3 linked regions of the Caenorhabditis elegans genome follow. The protein of the gene in region 1 purifies or fractionates together with the protein of each later gene. This does not show direct contact. Each region holds a gene or a part of one and is shown in the gene's direction. Other genes may lie near its edges.

The links.
Region 2: the proteins of rpt-2 (region 1) and pbs-4 fractionate together in Caenorhabditis elegans (co-fractionation; one large-scale study listed by BioGRID). This does not show direct contact.
Region 3: the proteins of rpt-2 (region 1) and iff-2 fractionate together in Caenorhabditis elegans (co-fractionation; one large-scale study listed by BioGRID). This does not show direct contact.

What each region holds. Positions count from the first base shown.
Region 1 is NC_003283.11:6,014,006-6,021,967, reverse strand, and holds rpt-2 (putative 26S proteasome regulatory subunit 4), read left to right. Parts: upstream 1-4,298; 5' UTR 4,299-4,299; coding exon 4,300-4,462; intron 4,463-4,508; coding exon 4,509-4,729; intron 4,730-4,774; coding exon 4,775-5,497; intron 5,498-5,543; coding exon 5,544-5,768; 3' UTR 5,769-5,919; downstream 5,920-7,962. Other genes in the region: picc-1 (PAC-1 interacting and coiled-coil domain-containing protein 1), read right to left, coding at 2,938-2,962; aps-1 (AP complex subunit sigma), read right to left, coding at 3,218-3,509, 3,764-3,867, 3,916-3,993; Transcription factor fos-1, read right to left, coding at 6,277-6,398, 6,994-7,195, 7,249-7,749. UniProt on the Caenorhabditis elegans protein: The 26S proteasome is involved in the ATP-dependent degradation of ubiquitinated proteins. The regulatory (or ATPase) complex confers ATP dependency and substrate specificity to the 26S complex.
Region 2 is NC_003279.8:3,905,993-3,912,021, forward strand, and holds pbs-4 (Proteasome subunit beta type-2), read left to right. Parts: upstream 1-2,754; 5' UTR 2,755-2,759; coding exon 2,760-2,862; intron 2,863-2,911; coding exon 2,912-3,207; intron 3,208-3,257; coding exon 3,258-3,324; intron 3,325-3,379; coding exon 3,380-3,522; 3' UTR 3,523-3,693; downstream 3,694-6,029. Other genes in the region: mrrf-1 (Ribosome-recycling factor, mitochondrial), read right to left, coding at 3,694-4,002, 4,048-4,209, 4,256-4,375, 4,420-4,545; T20F5.8 (TPA-induced transmembrane protein), read right to left, coding at 4,802-4,886, 5,498-5,533, 5,577-5,671. UniProt on the Caenorhabditis elegans protein: Non-catalytic component of the proteasome, a multicatalytic proteinase complex which is characterized by its ability to cleave peptides with Arg, Phe, Tyr, Leu, and Glu adjacent to the leaving group at neutral or slightly basic pH.
Region 3 is NC_003280.10:8,557,261-8,563,842, reverse strand, and holds iff-2 (Eukaryotic translation initiation factor 5A-2), read left to right. Parts: upstream 1-2,878; 5' UTR 2,879-2,887; coding exon 2,888-3,016; intron 3,017-3,070; exon of another isoform or gene 3,071-3,152; intron 3,153-3,602; coding exon 3,603-3,755; intron 3,756-3,831; coding exon 3,832-4,035; 3' UTR 4,036-4,262; downstream 4,263-6,582. Other genes in the region: F54C9.14 (PID domain-containing protein), read right to left, coding at 125-268, 314-547, 1,005-1,247, 1,320-1,415. UniProt on the Caenorhabditis elegans protein: Translation factor that promotes translation elongation and termination, particularly upon ribosome stalling at specific amino acid sequence contexts.

The sequences.
Region 1 (7,962 bases):
GAGTTACACATTCGAGTAGATCGATACGTTTTGACTACAGTAACCAGAGCTTTTATCACAAAAACAATTCATGAAAGTTTGAATCGTAAGAAAAACATAGACGTAGTTTCTGTTGTCTACCTAGATTAGAATACGTGAAGTATTTAGAAAAAAACAGCAGCTGTTGCCCTCGCTTCTGTCGGCCTATCGACAGTCGCCAAACCATTAAAAAATCATTACAAACAAACGGAACAATGGGGTTGCACGAACGAAAAAAGGAGAGAGTGCCTCCTTCTTTTCAATTTCTTTGTATTCAGCCTTTCTAGGAGATTTATAGTCCTAGCTGGTAGTCTAACTGACTAGTGAGAAGAGAAGAAAAAAAATGAGGAAATGGGAAAGGTCATGAGGATGAGCGCGCAAAAGATCGAGCAAGCAGCAAGTGAAAAGGACAACATGTATTGTGTCGGAAAAACGGTGTACCGAAAAGTACCCGAAATGGCACTTAACGATTATTTGAAAGAAGTAGGACAGAATGGCATGCAGATAGGTGCTTATTTAGAAGAAAGTACGACAAGGTTTCGGCGGAAGTGGAAAATTTGAAAATGCAAGACTTCAAATCATTGATATGAATCATGATTTGTATTCATACATAAGGTTGTTTCAAACCGCACGGAACAACAGACAAACGCATTGTAAAACTGATGCACAGCGCAACAGAAGACAAATGAGCAAAAGTGGGTGGAGCTGAAGTTGATGGCGGTCGCAGCCGGGTGGAGGTGCAGAATGAATGATGGATGATGAGCACAACAACAACGGCGGAATGAATATGCATTTCGAAAAATGAAATATGAAGCGTAAAAAAGAAACTACTGAAGTCTCATCAGTCAAGGTAAGAGGAAAAAAGACAATCTTCGAAACAGCCAGAGAATGCCCACACAATTATATAGTACGATTTACTCATGGCTAGTTGAAACTTTCACCTGGCGACTTATTCCAATACGACAATGAAAATAATAGGTAGGATTGGAGACCAAGTAGACGTACTAATTTGTATTGAATCTAAAACTTTAGTCGGAACAAACTAGACGTGAGATTTTTGAAGCGGTCAAACTTTCGGTGTCATGGTAAAATGGTTAAGCTAAATGCTTTTTCTAGTTTTCCAATTTAATGGCATATCTGTAGTTAATAAGAACGTTGCATCAAATTTATAGACGTAGAACAGAAGGTATGCCACCACCTGTACCTCATGTTACGTGACACAAATTAAAGATGACTATGTGGTACAGTACCAGTTTCGTGGAATGGCTTCCTGTGAAAACTGTCAGATACGATTTACCACAAAAGTGGGAGGCATTTGTGTAGAATTGGGATTGACTTTGAGTAAATGAAAATGGATAGTCTCGTTCGATTTAGGTGTCGAAGTTAATGCCCCGAATGAAAGAGGAAAAGGTGGATTAGACGATACTTTCATGAGGAACAACAGACAAAAAAAGACAGTGTAAAAACTGAAAGAAAAAGAGATGGTATCTCGATAAAGGTTCCCACACAACTAATCTGATCTTATAGATACATAGAGAGAGGATTACGTCTATTTTATTCAGCGCAATATTGTGTGCACAATAACGTTGCAGAAGAACACATATGACGATAAATAATTGACGTTGGTTAATAGACGTATTCTGACTAGGAAATGAGGGCACCGTCACGTTTCCGGGAAGTATATGCAATAGGAAGACTGTTTCAGTCTGTTCGCACCTTTTACTGGTTGCACCATCTGGGCAGCTGTGTAGCAAAATTAAGTGTCTAATCTGTTTTTAGAGTATTGATAGGTGTGAAAACTTCCAAAAAACTAAAAAAAAAAGGTTACGATTTTGAACTGGAATTATAGTAATTGCAAATATGCTTGGTTCTGTCATCAATTGCAAAATAAAGGTTTGCCAGTAAGAGTACGACCTCAAATTGCAAGTCGTTTGGCGGGAAACAAGAAGTGAACACGGCAGGGTGCCAACATTCACACTTTCGTCGCAACTTGCGAGAACAAAACCTGGTTTAGTTCTGCGTACCCACAAAAACCAATTACTTGTACATTGCTATTAGGAAAAACTATTATCGATTTTCAACATGTGATTATTTTTAATGCACCACGTAAAGCTAATTTAAATCTACCAAGTGAAAAATGGAGTTCCGTTGAATTATATACATTTATTGTTATTACTTGAAATCGTTCTTTCCTAAAGTTAAAAGCAACTGGGAAGCGTTATTTCGAACCAACTCTTTGGCTGATTTTCAAGACTGAAAAAAATAGCGAGGTTTGTTTATGATTTCTAGGGTCTCATGGACTGCGAATATTGAAAATGCGAATACTTATTCAAATAATGTGATGCGTACTTCTGCTTTCTGCCAAGATTTTAGATCAAAAATTAACTACGACTCAAAAACTAGGTGAAAGAACAAGTGTGTGCTGGAGCAAATTGATGGATACTTGAGAGAATGAGTGAATCCGCGCGGAAACATTTCCCGCTGTCTCCGCCTTCACTGCCCTTGTTCAATGTAAAACCAAAAACAATGCAAAGTATAGTGGATGGGAAGAGGAAGAAGTATTGGGCAGAAAACATGAAGAGGACACAAACATCTACTGTACGAAAATGATTAAACTTTGAGAAAACGGAAGTGATCGAAACAATTTTGACTAGTTTAATCATACTTATCGAAATTTCAGATAAATGATATTTTGAAATTCGACACCAACAAGAAGGTGAACATTGTGCTTTGTAATCTAACAAATGACAATTCCGGCAGAGGTGCCAATCATTCCTACATTCATTCCGTTCGAACTGACATGTTACACTGCCAACGTTCGCATATTACCCCCCGTTGAATTATCCTTGAATCCACCTTTCCCCTGTTCGTGTTTTACACTCATGTGCGGGAAACTCGGCAAAATTCACATTAGCTCACCTCGTCTCGGAGTTGTGATAATCATCCGCTTCGAAACCTGAGAAAGTTCAAAACTTTAAAGAAAAAATTGAAAAAAGTGTAGAAATAATGCAAGTCATGCATTGAAGTTTCCTAACAGAAAGAATACATAATGGAAGATTGAAAAATGAATGTTTTCTTCTCTTATTCACATGAATATTATCACAACCAGACACATAGCCAGGATAAATAAAGTAAGGTGGAAGTATTTGGTATTTACGGAAGCTTTCAAAGTCAATAAATTATGTTACTATTATCTTCATTATCCCAAACCGTGATCCTCGAAGAATCCTTGTGGAGTTTCTTCTTCTTGAATGAGATCTTGGGCAGCAATCGCCTTCAAAACTTGTTTTTTACTGGTTTCCTGGATTTCACCAGCCAGTAAAAATTCGTCGAGTATGAAGTAAGCTTTTTCGAAGTTGAAGATGATATCCAGCTCACAAACACTTCCAAAATATTTGTCGAGGAGTTCTACGTAACGATGAATGACTTCCAAAGTGATGAGCTCGTTGTCGTTTTGTTCGATGGCGCAGCAGAAATACAGAGACGCGTATCTGAAATTGTTGAGATTAAAAATTGAACGAATTGTTAAGTTTTTGTTTCATTTATCACAAAAATGTCTATTAAACAACTAAATTTGACGCCAAAATATTTTTCATGAATAAAAAACGTAATAACTTCGGATTTAGGTGTGTAACTATAATTTTCAAGAAATTTTGATTATAAACTTGTAAGTTATTTTCAGAAGGAACAATTTTAAGGCATGACAGGAAATGGGAGTTGTTACTTTTGAATATAAAATACGAACCGTTTGTAGACAACTTTCAAATCCTTGTATTCGAGGAACGCACACATTTTCGGTTTTCTCGCCAGAATTTGAGTGATGAGTTCGCGGCAAATTTTCTTCTTTTGCTGAAAATTGAGTGTGAAATTACACATATGAATAGGAAATACACTTACCTTGTCGGGGTAAGCAGTGTACCATTTCTGCAGCCGCAGTTTGCCCTGGCGACTGAAGAGAAGCATGTATTGCATCATGTTTACTGAAAACAAGAGTATGAACAATCGTTTGCAAACTTTAAAACGCTGAAAATACTTAAAAATCAATTGAAAAATTAGATTTTCTGAATAAAACAGACATGTGGCTTCGTCAATAAAAACAACGAAGCTCCGAAAATACGAAACCGCGCGTTGTTTAGTTCTCACCAGAGCGCGCTTGCATTGTCATCATCAACGCTGTATTTTTTTAAATCATTCTTCGTTCTACTTATTTTATATCTTTCAATTGTTTTCTTTTTCAAACGTGGACTTATTATTTTTCATATAAAATCATTATTTTCTAGAATGGGGCAACAACAGTCAGGTTTCGGTGGAAGAGGAAATGACCGCGGTGCCGGAGATGGAGAGAAGAAGGAAAAGAAGAAATATGAGGCACCGATTCCATCTAGGATTGGAAAGAAGAAGAAGGGGTCTAAGGGACCTGACGCCGCTAGCAAACTTCCAGCTGGTAAGTTTCAATCTAGTGTGTATTTTAACTGATGATTCGGTTTTAGTCACACCACATGCCAGATGCCGTCTGAAGTTGCTGAAGAGCGAAAGAATCAAGGATTATTTGTTGATGGAGCAAGAATTCATTCAAAACCAGGAGCGTTTGAAGCCACAAGAGGAGAGACAAGAAGAAGAGCGCGCCAAGGTGGACGAGCTCCGTGGAACACCAATGGCAGTCGGATCACTTGAGGAAATTATCGATGATCAGCACGCCATTGTTTCAACTGTAAGAATCAATATATCGATAATATTTTCTTATTTCAATATTTAGAACGTCGGAAGTGAGCATTACGTCAACATCATGTCATTCGTCGACAAGGAACAACTCGAGCCGGGATGTTCAGTCCTTCTCAACCACAAGAATCACGCCGTCATCGGAGTTCTCTCCGATGATACAGATCCTATGGTGTCTGTCATGAAGCTCGAAAAAGCACCACAAGAAACGTATGCCGATGTTGGTGGTCTTGATCAGCAAATTCAAGAAATTAAAGAAGCAGTTGAGCTTCCACTGACTCATCCTGAATACTACGAAGAGATGGGAATCCGGCCTCCAAAGGGAGTTATTCTATACGGTTGTCCTGGTACTGGAAAAACGCTACTTGCCAAGGCTGTTGCTAATCAGACGTCAGCTACTTTCCTTCGTATTGTTGGTTCGGAACTTATTCAGAAATACCTCGGAGATGGTCCAAAGATGGTCCGTGAGCTCTTCCGCGTTGCTGAGGAGAATGCACCATCAATTGTGTTCATTGATGAAATTGATGCTGTTGGAACAAAACGTTACGATTCGAACTCTGGTGGAGAACGTGAAATTCAGCGGACTATGCTTGAACTTCTCAATCAACTTGATGGATTCGATTCCCGTGGAGATGTTAAAGTTTTGATGGCCACTAACCGCATCGAATCTCTCGACCCTGCTCTCATTCGTCCAGGTCGTATTGATCGTAAGATTGAATTCCCCCTGCCAGATGAAAAAACGAAGCGCCGTATCTTCCAGGTTGGAACAATTTTTTCTAAACATTATATGAAGTTTTTATTTTCAGATCCATACATCTCGAATGACACTCGGCAAAGAAGTTAACCTCGAAGAGTTCATCACAGCAAAGGACGAGTTGAGTGGAGCTGATATCAAGGCTATGTGCACAGAAGCTGGTCTCTTAGCTCTTCGCGAGCGTCGTATGCGTGTCACGATGGAAGATTTCCAGAAGTCCAAAGAAAATGTGCTCTACCGTAAGAAGGAAGGAGCTCCAGAAGAACTCTATTTGTAAATGTGCCCCGTTTTATTTATTTTTTTTGTATTTTCTCTTTCCCAATTTATTTTATTCCCTTTTTGAACGTCCCGTTGCACAAAAACCGATTTAATGTAATTTTAAATCTGGATTGATTGAGGTAAATGATTCATGATGAAAAATATTCGTTTATGTGACATTGGGATTGATGGTTGGTAAGGAAAGTTCATGAATTTAATGAAACTGAAGAAGAAAAAAATGGAGAAAATCGACTTGAAGATTTACCAGTGAAGAAGTTGATGGTTTCGAAGAATAAGAAAATGATGTTACAGTTGAATGTATTTCTTATCACAATAATTGGAAACGGAAAGTTGGGGGAATTTCAGTAGCTAAAAGTGAAACTATAATGAGAAAAGAGAGAACTGGCTGAATTTAAAGATATGGAAATTGGATAGAAAATCGGGAAATTGTATGAAATTTTGTAATAATGAGAGCTGGACGGGGAAAATTACAAATGCACGCTACAGAAAATGATTTGAATCGGAATCTAGAGTGGTCGGAGATCAGCATCCGGATGTGGTTGAATCGGGGTTGGAGTTGAAACGAAGTTCATTGTTGGCTGACCAGAAGGTGTCAGACCAGTGTTGGAGGAAAGCAAGTCGAATGGGCCTGGAATGAAAATCGTTAATTATATTTTGAGAAATAAAAATAACACTTTTTAGCCCGGGATGAAACTGGAAAAATTTAAGAAAATTTTCGTATATTGTAGAAATATCGGCATTTGAATTAAAATTATGCAAATTTCTGGGTCTTGGCACGCCAACAACTTTCCAGCTACCGTACTCGCAATTGTAGTTCCAATTTTAACATTTTTTATATTTAACGTTGAGTTTTTTCAAAATATTCCAATTTTTGTATGATTATTGCAATATTGATATCTCAAAATACACGTGGTGTCAGAGTGTCCTATATCGGTTTGATCTCCGAGAATCGCGGGAATTTAGACGCATACTTCAAGTATCGCATGGTTAAGAACGTGATGGCGTCACATTTTTTAAGGGAATAAATTCCCGAATTTTTTGTAGATCAACCCGTGATGGTACAGACTGACACCACGTGAAAATATTGGTAGAAACTAGAAGAGCTCGGGTACGGTAGCTGAAAAGTTTTGCTCGCGATGAGACTCAGATTTAGGATTAAGAATTGCAATATTGTAAAAAATACAATTTTTATTCATTGGCTACAATCCGATTAAATAAACTACCTGGTGGGCCTCCGAATAGTCCATTCCCTGTACTCTGCGGTGTTTGATTTTGATATTCCCCCCCGAGACGGAAAGGCCTGCTGGGAGTAGTGATCGGCTGATTTTCAACGATTCTGGAAAGCGTCGGAAGAGCTGACGGACGTTCAACGTCGTCTGGCATGGTCAATGATGTCAGTGTTTGGTCCAACTCGATTTTTGGAATCTGAAGTAAAATGTAATGTAAAAGATTCAATAAATTAAAATGAATGTACTCACTTTGCGTTCCGGTTCTGCGAAAACGTTTTCCGAACGACCGTGTAATGAGTTGGCATGCGAAACCGGGATAGAAGTGATAACATGAATTCCAGCAGCACTCGTGCTTGCCGGTAAAGCTGGTGGTGGCATAGAATTGATATTTCGATCTTTGATATTTTGAATACATGAGATTGGAGGAAGAAGTAATTGATCAATTGAAGGCTTATAGTCCTCAACTGGTGAGTGTTGTTCAGACGATGAAGATGAATGTCCTGATCGAATAGAATATGGTACAGAGTCAGCACGTGGTGGATGAACTCTCAACGAATGTTGAAGATATGGTTGTGATGGTGGAACTGTTGATGGTGGGATTATCAATCGATTTATCTCATGTGTTCGTTCTTCGCGACTCAGTTTACAATCATGCGTTTCCAAATAGTTTTTGAGACTGTTGAGCTTATTTCGGATGTTGTTGCATTCCGCCATTTTTTTGTCGTTGCTATTTTTGAAGTCATTTACTTGCTGAAAATAGATCGTGAAATTTATCTTTAATACAATGTTGAAACTTCCTATTTTGAAGTCTAAAAAAACCTATAAGTGTGGTTTTTTTTCAAAATGAAACTGAAATATATTGCAAATCATAGTGAATTTATAAGTTAAAAAATGTTTGAAAGTTAATTATAAAAACTACTAAATTCTTGGAACTAGGCCCAAAACTGTTTTCTGAAATATTTA
Region 2 (6,029 bases), on another chromosome or scaffold:
AATTCTGGCAACTTGTCGATTCTAGGCAAACTCTTCCATAAAAACAAAACGAATCACCCAAGTCTAGGCAAGAAATTTCTTATGCCTAGACCGCTTCGATTTTTTAAAAAACCTAAAAGAGAAAGAATTGGGAAATGAAATTAAAAGCAAACAAATCTAGGTAAACTTTTCCCCATAAAAAGCATACAAACATATATCTATATCCTTTCCAAAAAATAATTGAAAAAGAAACCAAAACCAGAAGTCGTAAGAAGGGATATCAGATTAACATGTGTGTGTATGTGAATGTTTCAACGACAAGAAGAAGAGCATGGGAAACGAATTCATGAGCTCTCTCTCTTTTGAGCAACGACTACTTATGCCTGAAGACGCAGAGAAATTGAAGAGAGAATCGATGGGAAGCAGTGGGTTTGAAAATTGTTTGAAGAAACAACAACAAGAAAGGAAAAAGAAAAGAAAAGGGGAGAATGCTAATTTAGCAGCAGAATGCAAGTGGAATGAGCACAGTGAATTGAATATTACATTGTGAAACATGGGTTGAGTACGGAGCTCGTGTTGACTTCTGAAGTGAGTAAGAAGCCAAGCAGTGGAAAGAGCGTGGCGAGACCTTCTAGGGCAAGATGATTGCCGAAAAATTTGCCGATTCTCGAATTTTCCGGCTCCGACAATTTGGTTTAAAATTGGAGATGTACATATTTTGAGGAGGGAAGTAGTCTATACACACCAGAAGTTGGCGGCAAACAATTTTTTTTGGCAAGTCGGCAAATCGGCAAATTGGTGGAATGGGAAATTTCCAGCAAATCGACAAGCTGGCAGATTTGCCGAATTTGGCGTAAAAACGGTAATTGCCGAAAATTTTCGGCAAATTGTGGTTTTGCACATTTTTTTTTGGAAATTTCAGAATTTCAATTTTAATCGGCAAAATTGTACGCATCCTATGAATATTCCTACATCTATTTTGAAAAGTTAGCTAATTCTATGAAAATATCTAAAGAAACGGTAAACCGGCAATTTGCCGATTTGCCGAACGGCAATTGCCGCAAACCCCTGGCACACACACGTTAATGACCCAGAAATGATATTCCAAAAATTTTCAATAACTTCCAAATTTTCAGCTAAAGTTTTGGTAACTTGCCAAATTTAAAAAATAGCGGAATTTCTGAATATTTTCGAGAATGCTGTATTTTTAACTCCTACAATTTTTGGTCGACTTCCAAAATTTATGTAGTAATTGTCACTTTTTGAATAAAAACTTTTTTCAAAGAGTTCTCCATATTTTTCACTATGATTTTTTGCTCATTTTATCACTAAAGGAAAGCTTGAAATAATTTCTCTATTGGTGGCGCCATTAAATTGTTTCAGAAGGGTGGGAGCACGTGGAGTCAAAAAGTCCCATTTTGCTTTGATCTTCGAAAAAATGCGGGAGAAGTGACGCAGACATCTCATTTGATTTCGCATGGTTAGGAGTGTGCTGACGTCACAATTTTTCTGGGAAAATATTCCCGCATTTTTCGTAGATCAAACCGCAATGAGACAGCCTGACACCACGTGTGGGAGTGATTATCTTATCTTCAGGTAATAACAAAAAAAGTTGTAGCTTACTGTTTTTCTTTCAGGGTCCTGACACGACCGAAACTTTTCAAATATCGTACCCCGCCAGTATTTAGATATTTTGATTTAACTGTTAAAACCTTACTTATTTTCAAAATGCGGGTACTGTAGTTGATAAGTTTCGCTCGAGCCAGGACCTCGATGCACAATTTTAGACAAACTACTCGCTGTAAAATTGCAGTTTCCTGTACACGTAGAAAGCTAGAAAAGAACAGGATAAATTGCGGAAAACCACAAGAAGATTCATGAATAGGTGGCAAATGAAGTGTCATCTTGCCTCGGAACAACATGACCTGGTGACCATGAAATTGTATCGGCGACTCTTTAATAGAGGAGTTCTTTGTTTATAAACACACCAGGGTGGCCTCGAAGAGTGCGGTTTGGAATGGTGTAATCCGAACGATGGTTTGCCTCCACTTTTCCCGGAGAAGACAATGATTAATTATCTCGGAGACACAAATCCGCCTCCTCTCCGGATAGCTCGAGCACTTCTTTTCTCGTAATAACGACATCTGCGCCGAACCACCAGCACCACCCGAAGAATGAATGAATAAGTGAGAACGAATTCGAAGAGCAGATGGTGGTGGTCTAAGGATCGGCTCATTTATGACGAGAAAATCGGTTCGATAATGAGCGGATAATCGGCCGAGCAAAGCGTGCGCGGAAAAGAGTAATGACCTGCAAAAAGCTGCGATATGGGATTTTAATTATTTACACAACCACTTGATGCACTTGGCACCTTGATTTAATGATGAGGGAAATTTTTATTAATAATAAATTTATTATTCAATCGGGAAAGTTTTTAACTGAAAAAGTATATAAAATAATGACTGAATAATTGTTAAAAAATCTGAAAGTTTTCTATTCTTCTAAAAAACCTTTGTTTTCATGCCTTTTCAAGATTTTATTTCTGTCGATCCAGCTCGAGCTTTTCCCAAAGAGCTCTTTTTCTTCTAAAAGCACCTACCGTATACACATTCGTCGTCAAATAGTGCGCATTGGGCGCGCACACCGAATATTACGACAAGATGCAGAAATCATCATTTTTGCAATTTTGAAGTTTCAACCGCATTCGAAGTCGCTTTTCTTTCCTTTTTTCTCACTGAAAGTTGAATTTTATTATTTTATTATTCTTATTTTCAGACGAGATGGCTGGTATGCACTTCTTGGTGGGAATTTCCACCGAAAACTACGTGATTTTGGCCGCAGACAAAGCCACTTTCGCTTATGGCGCTATTCTCGCTGACAGCGGTAAGGCTGAGAATCCGGGATGCAAAAAATATTCAAATTTATATTTTAGAAAACGACAAGGAATATAGACTGGGAAAGAAGTTGACAATGATGTGCATCGGAGAGGAAGGAGACGTCGCACAGTTCGGAGACTGGACCAAGAGAAATCTTCAGTTGTACTCGGTCAGAAATGGTTACGAGGTTTCACCATCATGTGCTCATCACTTCGTTCGGCGCAGTATCGCCGAAGGTCTCCGCTCGCAAGATCACTACACTGTCGATGTTCTGATTGGAGGATATGATGACAAGGAGGACAAGGCTTTCCTAGGATCTGTTGATTACTTGGCTAATGGACTCGGGCAACAGGTATTCAGCAATTTATTATCTTTTAGTCAAAATAAAGAATTATTATTCAGCCGTACTTGTTCCGAGGATTCTGCGGACGCTTCTGCTATGCCATTATGGATCGTGAATACAAAAAAGGTAAGTTTTAATTAAGTTTAAATTAATGTTCCCAACTTTACTGAATGATTTTCAGACATGACTGAGGCTGAAGGACTCGCTTTGATGAACAAGTGCATCGGAGAGGCTAAGAGACGTTTCGTCGCCAACATTCCGGGATACAAAGTGGTGATCATCGATAAGAAGGGATACCGCAAATTGGATGATGTTCTTTTCTAAATTTCTGGCCCCGGAATATATTTTTCACCGGTTATTACACTTCTCTCCTGCAACCTTTTTTGTGACTTTTCTCCCAGTTTTCTTCCGTTTTAATTTATTGACACATTCGAATGTATTTTCCATCATATTTTATTCTATCTAAAATTGAGCAATTGAAAAGATAGATAACAATTAAACGACTTGTTTCAGCAGCTGTTTGCGGCGTTCTTCGATGAGTAGACCTCCTCTTTGTTCAGCAGCGTGCTTCATATTCAATAGTGCTTCCCGTGTTTTCTTGGCTTCATCTGGTCTCGTGGAAAACTCATTCGACGACTTCTTATCACTTTTGGAATAGATTTCGTTGATCGCCTTTTTGTATTCATTGAGAATTCGTCCCTTCGCATCAGATGCCATTTTCTCTCTTCTTTCTTTACTCATCGGCGGCACATTCACATACAAAACAGCTCCCTCCTGTTGTGGAGTTACATTAAGAGTTGATTTCTGAAATAAACAAAGGAAAATATGAAAAGGACGGCAAGATGGTACCTGAATCGCCAATTTTGCTGCTTTAATTGCAGATGGATTATCCTGGAAGTTGATCATAATCATAAGTGGAGATTTTAATGTGACTCTGGCAATCATGGACAGTGGCTTATCCTTTCCATTTTCAAGCTTGACCATGACATCTTCATATTGCCGAATATCTACCTGGAAATAATTATTTTACTTTGATCAATTCTTTTAAAAAACTAACTTTAAGAGAAAAATGTCTTGTGAGCTCTTCGACAAGTAATCCTTCAACTCTTTGAATTTCTTTTATTGTTTCCTGGACGACTGCGTTTTCCTCCAAATTCGAGAAAACTGCTGGTGGATTCTGAAATATAACTTTTAATATAAATCTAAATGACTTATTCCAACCTTTTTCTTATTGTCCGCTTTTTTCTTAGCATTTACAACTGCAGAAGTAAAGATTTGAGCTTGTTTTTGAAGGAATTGAGCTCGAGAGGCACCTTGGGCTAATCGAATTACTGCTAAACGAATCATTAAATCTGTAAAAAGTATATTTTTTTAACAAAGTTAATTTTCACTATTATTGAATTTTAAATTGAGAAAATAAAACTGTTTTCACGAGAAATGCACTTTTGATTTAAAAAAATTTTGTAAACCGTCTGTCGTCTCTTCTATAGAGACACTCTCGTCTCAAACACAACGCGGGAATTCAAAACAGGGGTTTTATTTAAAAGTGTCTATTCATTATTCTGAAACAATATGAACTCAAAATTAGGATAATAAGGAAATTTTAAGAGTGACGAAGCAGATAAACTGTCGATTCATCATTTGAATCTCTTCTTGCAGTGGACGCCACATATCTTCTTATCGTCTCACTGAAAATTGTAACATTTCTGAAAGATCGATAGAAACTTGTTTTATATTATGAGAGAACAGGGCCGAGGTCGAGCACAGGGTCTCACCACGATTCACACCGAAAATATTGGTAGGTATTTTGCGCACAGATCAATATTATATCAATGCGAATTATACTAAATACAGCATTTATTTTATTACAGGAAAAGCAAATCCTGAGAATGCGTATTGCACAACTTATTTGACGCGCAAGATATCTCGCAGAGAAAATTACAGTAACTCTTAAAATACCGTACCGTTTGTGTCGATTTACGGGCTCAATTTTTGAAACGAATTTATTTTCGAAAAGTGACAGCGTTATTCCATTTTCCTTCGTTTCTTTGTATTATTTTCTCATTAAAAAATTCTATCGATAAATCAATAATTTCAAATCATTTAAAAAATCGAGCCTGCCGTAAATCGAAACAAGCGCTACAGTAGTCATTCGAATAATTGTAGCTTTCGCTACAAAATATTTTGTGCGTCAAATATATTTCGCAGTACGCACTCTCAGAATTTTTCGTTGTGAATCGTGGCGGGACCCACAGGGAAAAATTAGGAAATTTCAGACCCCTCACTTCCCATCACAAACCTGCTGACACCAGTTGGCAAAACCAATTGATCGTTCCTGAAAATAAAATAATGCGGAAAAATAATCGCAGAAGACGTACTTGACGGCTAATTCAAAAGCTTGTGCGTACTCTTCAGTGGATAATGTCTCTTCAGAAAATGTTGTAATGTTTAGAACTGTCGGTGTCTCAAATGGCTGAAAGATTTGAGAATATGGTTATTCGGAAAAATAGCATGCGCCTTTGAATATGGGTTACTGTAATGGCCCGGAAAATAAAATCGAATGTTATATATTTTTGCATGATTCGAATCTAGACTTCAAAGGAAGAGAACGCAAAAAAAAATCAAGATGCAAGAGCGCCCCGCGGCCAAATGGAAACGCCCATAAACGTTGGGTCTCGTTAGGTAAAGCTATAAATTCAAAAAAAAAAATTGAAAACCTTTCAATTCGCGGTTTTGTGAAACGAGACCCAACGTTTGGAGGAGGAGAACGCTCAATTTCATTGTTTTCTTTTCCTGTGTCTTGATAACAACGAATTGATAACAACGAAAAA
Region 3 (6,582 bases), on another chromosome or scaffold:
TTTTCTATCAAATTTCCAAAGATTTTTATACCATTTCCCCCTGTTAACTCTGTGATTAGTCTGCTTGTGCAATGTCATTCATTCCATCTCTTCATAATTTATTTTTCTTCTAATAAAAATGGTCCTAGTATTCAGAAGTGTTAAATGTGTTCATAAGTCGTTGCTCATCTGATGCTCCTTTCTTTGGTGTTTTTGCTGGAGCTGGAGTTGGAGCTTTTTGAATAACCATTTGAGAATCGTTCGGAACGTGACTAGGATGAGGGCTTGCCTGAATTCAAATATAGGAACTTCATTTGATACTACAGTGACCCACCTGTTTCAAGTTAATCGGAGTCGATGGCGTTGTCGTCGAGAGTTGACTATGTGAAGACATTGAAGTCAAAGACATTGTACCTTCCAATACTGATATACTTGATGTAGTTCTTCTGGTTCTGACCAAGAATTCATCAGATCTTTTATTTGATACCTCTTTCTTTGTCTTCTTTGATTTTTCAATAACACACGAGAAACGTTGTTTCGGGGGAAATGGATTGTGGTAGAGAATGTGCTGGAAATTAGAATTTAGAGATACGTGCATGAATTGGAAGCTAATCTGTAGACTATTATTCATTCTCAATATTATTTTTTACAAAAGATATTCACATCAAAGTAGCACGTTGCTTAAGTATTCAGAAGAATTGACTTCCAGGAGGCACGGGTATTTTATTTTAGAAAGGAGCGACTTTATTATGAGCCACCAATAGAAAAGCATGGCACATCTTTAAGATATAAAGTTCTCGCAATTTCTGGTCTATCAGCTGGGGAACTATATGAGTATGTACACATGTAAGATATCTCGCACCGAACCTATTTACTGTACTCACATAAAATTCCAAACTGACTACACCGTGCAGGTATAATCTAGATGACCTTTTTTGCCAATTTTAATTATTAGACATACGATAATTATTACAAAATTGTTTTCTTTGATCTTTGTTCTTTGAATCTTGAAAAGATCGAAGTACCTCCATATAAAATCGTTTTGCTTTTTCACAAGCATTACGAAGCGATTTCCGATTATCAGCCGAATTGAACGCAGCTTCAAAATATTTTGAATCGACTAATTCTGTAGCAGTTCGACGAGAAACTTCACTGATTGCAAATGAAACAAAATTCCTTCCATTTTCCGATTGGCAACATGTTACAGTCATTCTTTGAGGATCACAAGATGCATCAGCAAGATAATTGTTCACACAATTATACGACATCTGAACAAGAATCCATTTGATTTTTGAATTTTCAGTTTGCAAAATAAACGTTTCAAAATCCGTCTAACTCACAGTGAAAGAAGTAGGATCTTCAATTTTTCGAGTTGCCACAGCTCCATTTTTTGTAAAAATCACTTTTTGTGAATTAGTCTTCATACAAGTTGGCATTTTTAGAAATCGTAAGTACAGAAATAAATTTTTAAAAAACGAACCAGAAGCGGTTGAGCAAAACGTGAAAATTTAAATAGGATAATTTAATATTTTTCAAATTTTTGGTAAATTGCCAAATTTTCCAAAAAAAAAAACGCAATTGAAGTATAAAGCTCGTAGAAAATATGTTTTTGTCAATTTCCTAAAATATGTCCTAAAATATCCTAAAACTAAATAAATCTAAATTTTTCAGCAGCTTCAGTAGAGACTGCAACATCTAATGAGATCTTCGTTGGTGACTACAATGCTCATAATCAGTTCAATCCAAGTTTTTTTAAAACTTAAGCAGGAGCTGAGGCAACAAAAACAGTTGTGTAAAAGTCATGAATATTTAGGTTGTCGGGGGGTTCAATCCATAACTAACTTACCATGTTTTGATATACTTCCTTTCCCCTCAAACTACACGAATGTATTTTATGATAGTTTTTGTAGTGTAATAACTTCTAATAACTTGTCTAATAACTTGTATCTTACTTGTTTCTGCTTTTATTATTAATACATTATAATAAATTCAAAAACAAATTTGTTCAACTTTTAAGTAGGGAAAAATTGAATAATTACCAAATTGAATAGACACACTAGTTGTCAATAGATTAGTAGGTCTGGAACAAATTGGTAAACTGTACATATAGTAAACCATATATAATAAATATATTTACTAACCAGCTCATGAATGTAATTTTAATTCAATGTTTAAAATTAATAAAACTTATCTAAATTGTTTTCATGCCCGTTTTTTAGTATACTCACTTACTACAACTCTTATCTTATCTACTACAATAACCTACAACTTAACTCTTATTTGTCTCCATTTTCCCGCTCCTCTGTCTCGATATGTTCCGTTTTCTCCAAAACTGCAAAATTGTATGTTTGTCAGTGTCTCCACCATTACACCACCGTCTCAACCCTGCAAGACCGGTGCATACACGCTCCGTCGACGGCCACGCGGTTGGTTATTGCCTGCGTAGCGACCCACACACAGTGATGGGATACCGAGTTCAACCGTATTTACGTAAGACCTTCGCAACTGTTTAGGCAACTTTTGAAAGTCTTTTTTTGAAAAGTTTCAGACTGTTTTCTTGTGATTTTCAAGACAAAACTGTGTAAGTATTAGGGAATGCTTGGTTTTTGTCTTAGATATAGTATCTACCTACAATATGCTAAGTTGATATGATAAATTATTGATTGATGATGTTTTTTCTATTTGTCATCATTTTTAGGTTATTATGGTTTAAATCAATTTAGATACATTCAATTTGCTGACTTTTTTGAAATGGCTGTAAAAACTAGTAGATTTATCAAATTGGATCTAGGTCCCCATTTCTTAAGGACTATGTATTTGACGCTTTACTATATTTTTTCTGGTTTTTATTTATTCTTAAATATTGTTATCATTTAAAAAATTAACTTGTGCGTTGTAGGGTACCAATATGTCTGACGATCATCACGACGACGAGCACTTCCACACCGGAGACTCTGGAGCTGCTGCCACATTCCCAAAGCAGTGCTCTGCTCTCCGTAAGAACGAGCATGTCATGATCAAGGGACGCCCATGCAAGGTTCGCTTTGTTTTAAAATGTTGAAAAATTAAATAAACTTAGAAGATGTTTTGTGAAAAAGTGCGATGAATGACTTGGATAAGTTTCGGCTGAAACTTGGTGATGCCAACTTTTTAAAACTGCTGAGCACTTTTTCTCAAACAAAAACCCAATAAATATGAAAGAACTATATATATAGTTATATAAACTATTCACTCATAGTTTTTTACAAAAACTGAAAGCTTACCAAATTGATAATTAATTCCAAAACAAAAAACTCCTGAAATTATTTAGCTCACAAAATACCCAGATAAGATGATATGATTTAATCCTAAAAACTGTTAGTCTAAACATTAGATAGGCCAGATATTTATATTCTCAGAGGCGAGTGAAGAGGCGGATCAGAGACACCCCGCCATGCTTTTACCGGAAGGAAATTCTAAGACAGTTAATTTGAATTTTAGTTCTAATTTAAATATTAACATTTTAAAATTGCAAAAAATATTTGAGGAATAAAAAAAAAGTATACATACAATCGTAGCACCATGCTTCTAGAATGTGGACAAATCAACTTTGCGTAACCATAAAAGTTATCTGAAAGTTGTAGATCGTCGAAATGTCGACCTCCAAGACCGGAAAGCACGGTCACGCTAAGGTCCACATGGTCGCCATCGACATCTTCACCAGCAAGAAGCTTGAAGATATCTGTCCATCCACCCACAACATGGATGTTCCAGTCGTCAAGCGTCGTGAGTACTTGGTAGGTTTTCCAAAATTTCATATTGCTAAACTATCACTAAATTTTTATTCAATTTTCAATATGCTTGTTCTTTCAGTTGATGGCCATCGATGACGGATATTGCTCCCTCATGGACCCAGAGTCCTGCGAGCAAAAGGATGACCTCAAGCTTCCCGATACTGAGCTCGGACAACAGATCCGTGATGCTTATGAGAAGGACGAGGGATCCGTTTTGGTCCAAGTTGTCTCTGCTATCGGAGAAGAGGCTATCCTCGGATGGAAGGTCAGCACCAAGGAATAAATCGTCAAAGGAACCCCCTGCCAACTGCTCATGAATCCTGATTCCCCCGTTCCACCCCGCAAAACTTTCACTGTATGAATGGTGCTGCTTGACATTCCATTCCAGAATTCAAGTATAACCCATCATCAAGTGCTCGTGTTATTTTTCTTGTTTTCATTAACTTTTTTTTTTGCTTTTTTTCAAAACATAACTGAGAATTTAATTTCAAATAAATTATCAGAAAATTTTGGTTTCCATTTTATTTAAAAACTATCAATCCACCTCCATGAATTCACTCGTTTTTTCTTTTGCCTTCTTGTTCCATCATCATCCGTAGGTAATTTGTTTCTGTTCCATCATCTCACACACTCTCTCTTATACACGCACAACAATTGACTAAATTTGATTTATAAATGAAGTTGCACGGAGAGTTGCTTTTCGATTCACTTTCATTTGATTCTGAATCTAGGAATAGTTGAAGAGAAAAGAAGCGATTTCATTTCCGGTACTGGGAGATATCTGACCAGAATCTTAGTCAGATGCTTCTTTTGTTTTTCGATTGACTAGGAAATATGTTACTAAAGAATAATTCCTAGAGTTTTTAAGTTTTTCAGTTCTAAACGCTTTCCTATAAACGCAATCCTGGAAATGTTTAATGACTCGTAAAGCAACCGTTTTTGACAAGAGACACCTGTGATTTATACGTTTTTCAAGCTTCATCAAAATAGTGCCTAGAATTTCCATTCGTTCTTTCAACTTTCAGTCTGAAAAGAAACATATCGATGTATCTTGTTAGGTTATTTTGGCTCACTTTTATAAAAATATCTTCACTTACTGGAACGGTCATATTGTTTTTTTGCGTACTTATACCTTTCTCTGCTTGACTTCAAAACTTAATTTTAACAAAAACAAGAGGCGTGGAAAACTTTAAAAGCTTCTTGGTAACAACTCGACCTTTCTAATGGGATTTTAAAGTCTAGACACGTGTTTACCAATTATCAGCATACTTGTTGTATTGTCTATTTTAGTTTATAAATTAGTTCAAGAATAAGGTTCAATGTTTTTGAAATTGACGCTGTTTTCATTTTTGATTTGACAGCTTTCAAGGGCACGTTACCAGCTTTTCCAAACCGAGCTGTAGAAATCTGCCAATGGTGCACTAAAAAACTTTCTACAAGTATCGTGCTGAATTTCTTAACTTCTGTAACTGAAACCTCGTTTGTATGAACAAAAACTTAGTTAAGACCGTGTAATAGTTCAAATTGAGTTTGCATTGTTGATTCGCATCAGAAATTTAAAACAAGCATATCAGGCATTGAATATAATTTGCAAATTTCAGAATCGCCGCTCAAAATATCTGAAAAAAGAATATGACGGATCAAAGAATAAATAAAGAGAAAATGGGCGTGGCTGAGCCGTCTCATATTCACTCATTTCCCGACGGACCGCCCGTTCCTTTTTCTCTTCAACAAAATTGTCCTCGTTCGTTTCGTCTTCCACCCGTCAAAAATAGAATAACAACCACTATCGCCGTGTCGTCACTTTTCAATTTTTTAGTCGTTAGTAGTTTTAAAAAATGACATGTAAAAGCTTTCTTTGACATGGTTTTAGATATATGTTTCTCTTTTTATGTTTTCAATTTTGAATTTTCGCTTGAATGATTTTCTTCTTTTTGTTTCAAATTGAACACGAATCTGCTTTTTTTGAGGTGGACACCAGACGCGAGAAATCGAATACTACTTGAAAAAATATAAATTTCTTTTGGTTTCTTATTCATCACCTAGTTTTTAAATGAGTTGTTTTTTTGTATTTGAAAACAATAACACATAAATTATTAGCTTTGTTAAAGAAACGTTCAATCCGGTTAATTTTCCCGTGTTTTCTAGAGATTTAGATTTTTGCATACATATGATAAATTCACAATATTTGTTCAATCGAAAATGTCTTAAACCAAATATTGTTTAAAAAATTCAAATTAATTTGGTACTTGAGAAAGCTAATAAATTAAATAAGTGTAGGCTTAAAACATACCTGTTAAAAGTAGGTAAAGATTCTTTGACCTGTAAACCGGATGTTTTATAAAAGTTGAAGAGTTCAACACGTGTATCATTTCCTGTATTCATCCATTTCACTTCCGGTCTAACGGAACTTGCCGAAAATTTGCAAAAATTTAGTTTCTCCGCATGACAGATTTTTTAATGTTCACATCATATTAATTTTGTTATTCTCTATTATTTTGAATTAATTCATGTTTTCTTCTAATTGTAATTCACATAGCTTATTAGTATCTTGATGTTTTTGCCAATAGTTTGACTATACACATTTCCATAGAGCTTTTCTTGTACAGACCATGTTTTTTGTTTTCCAGTATGCTCGATGTTAGTTTCCAAATTCGTAATGCTCGACACATCTGACAATGTAATTTTACGCAAGTAATTTTTGTTAGCGATCAAAGACCGGTCAAGAAAACGATCACTTCAGACAGTTTGCCATACGTGTTGTGCGTTTTGTGTCATAAAAACAAGCAACGGAATAAAAATAGATTAAGTCCAAGAAAGTACAATGCAA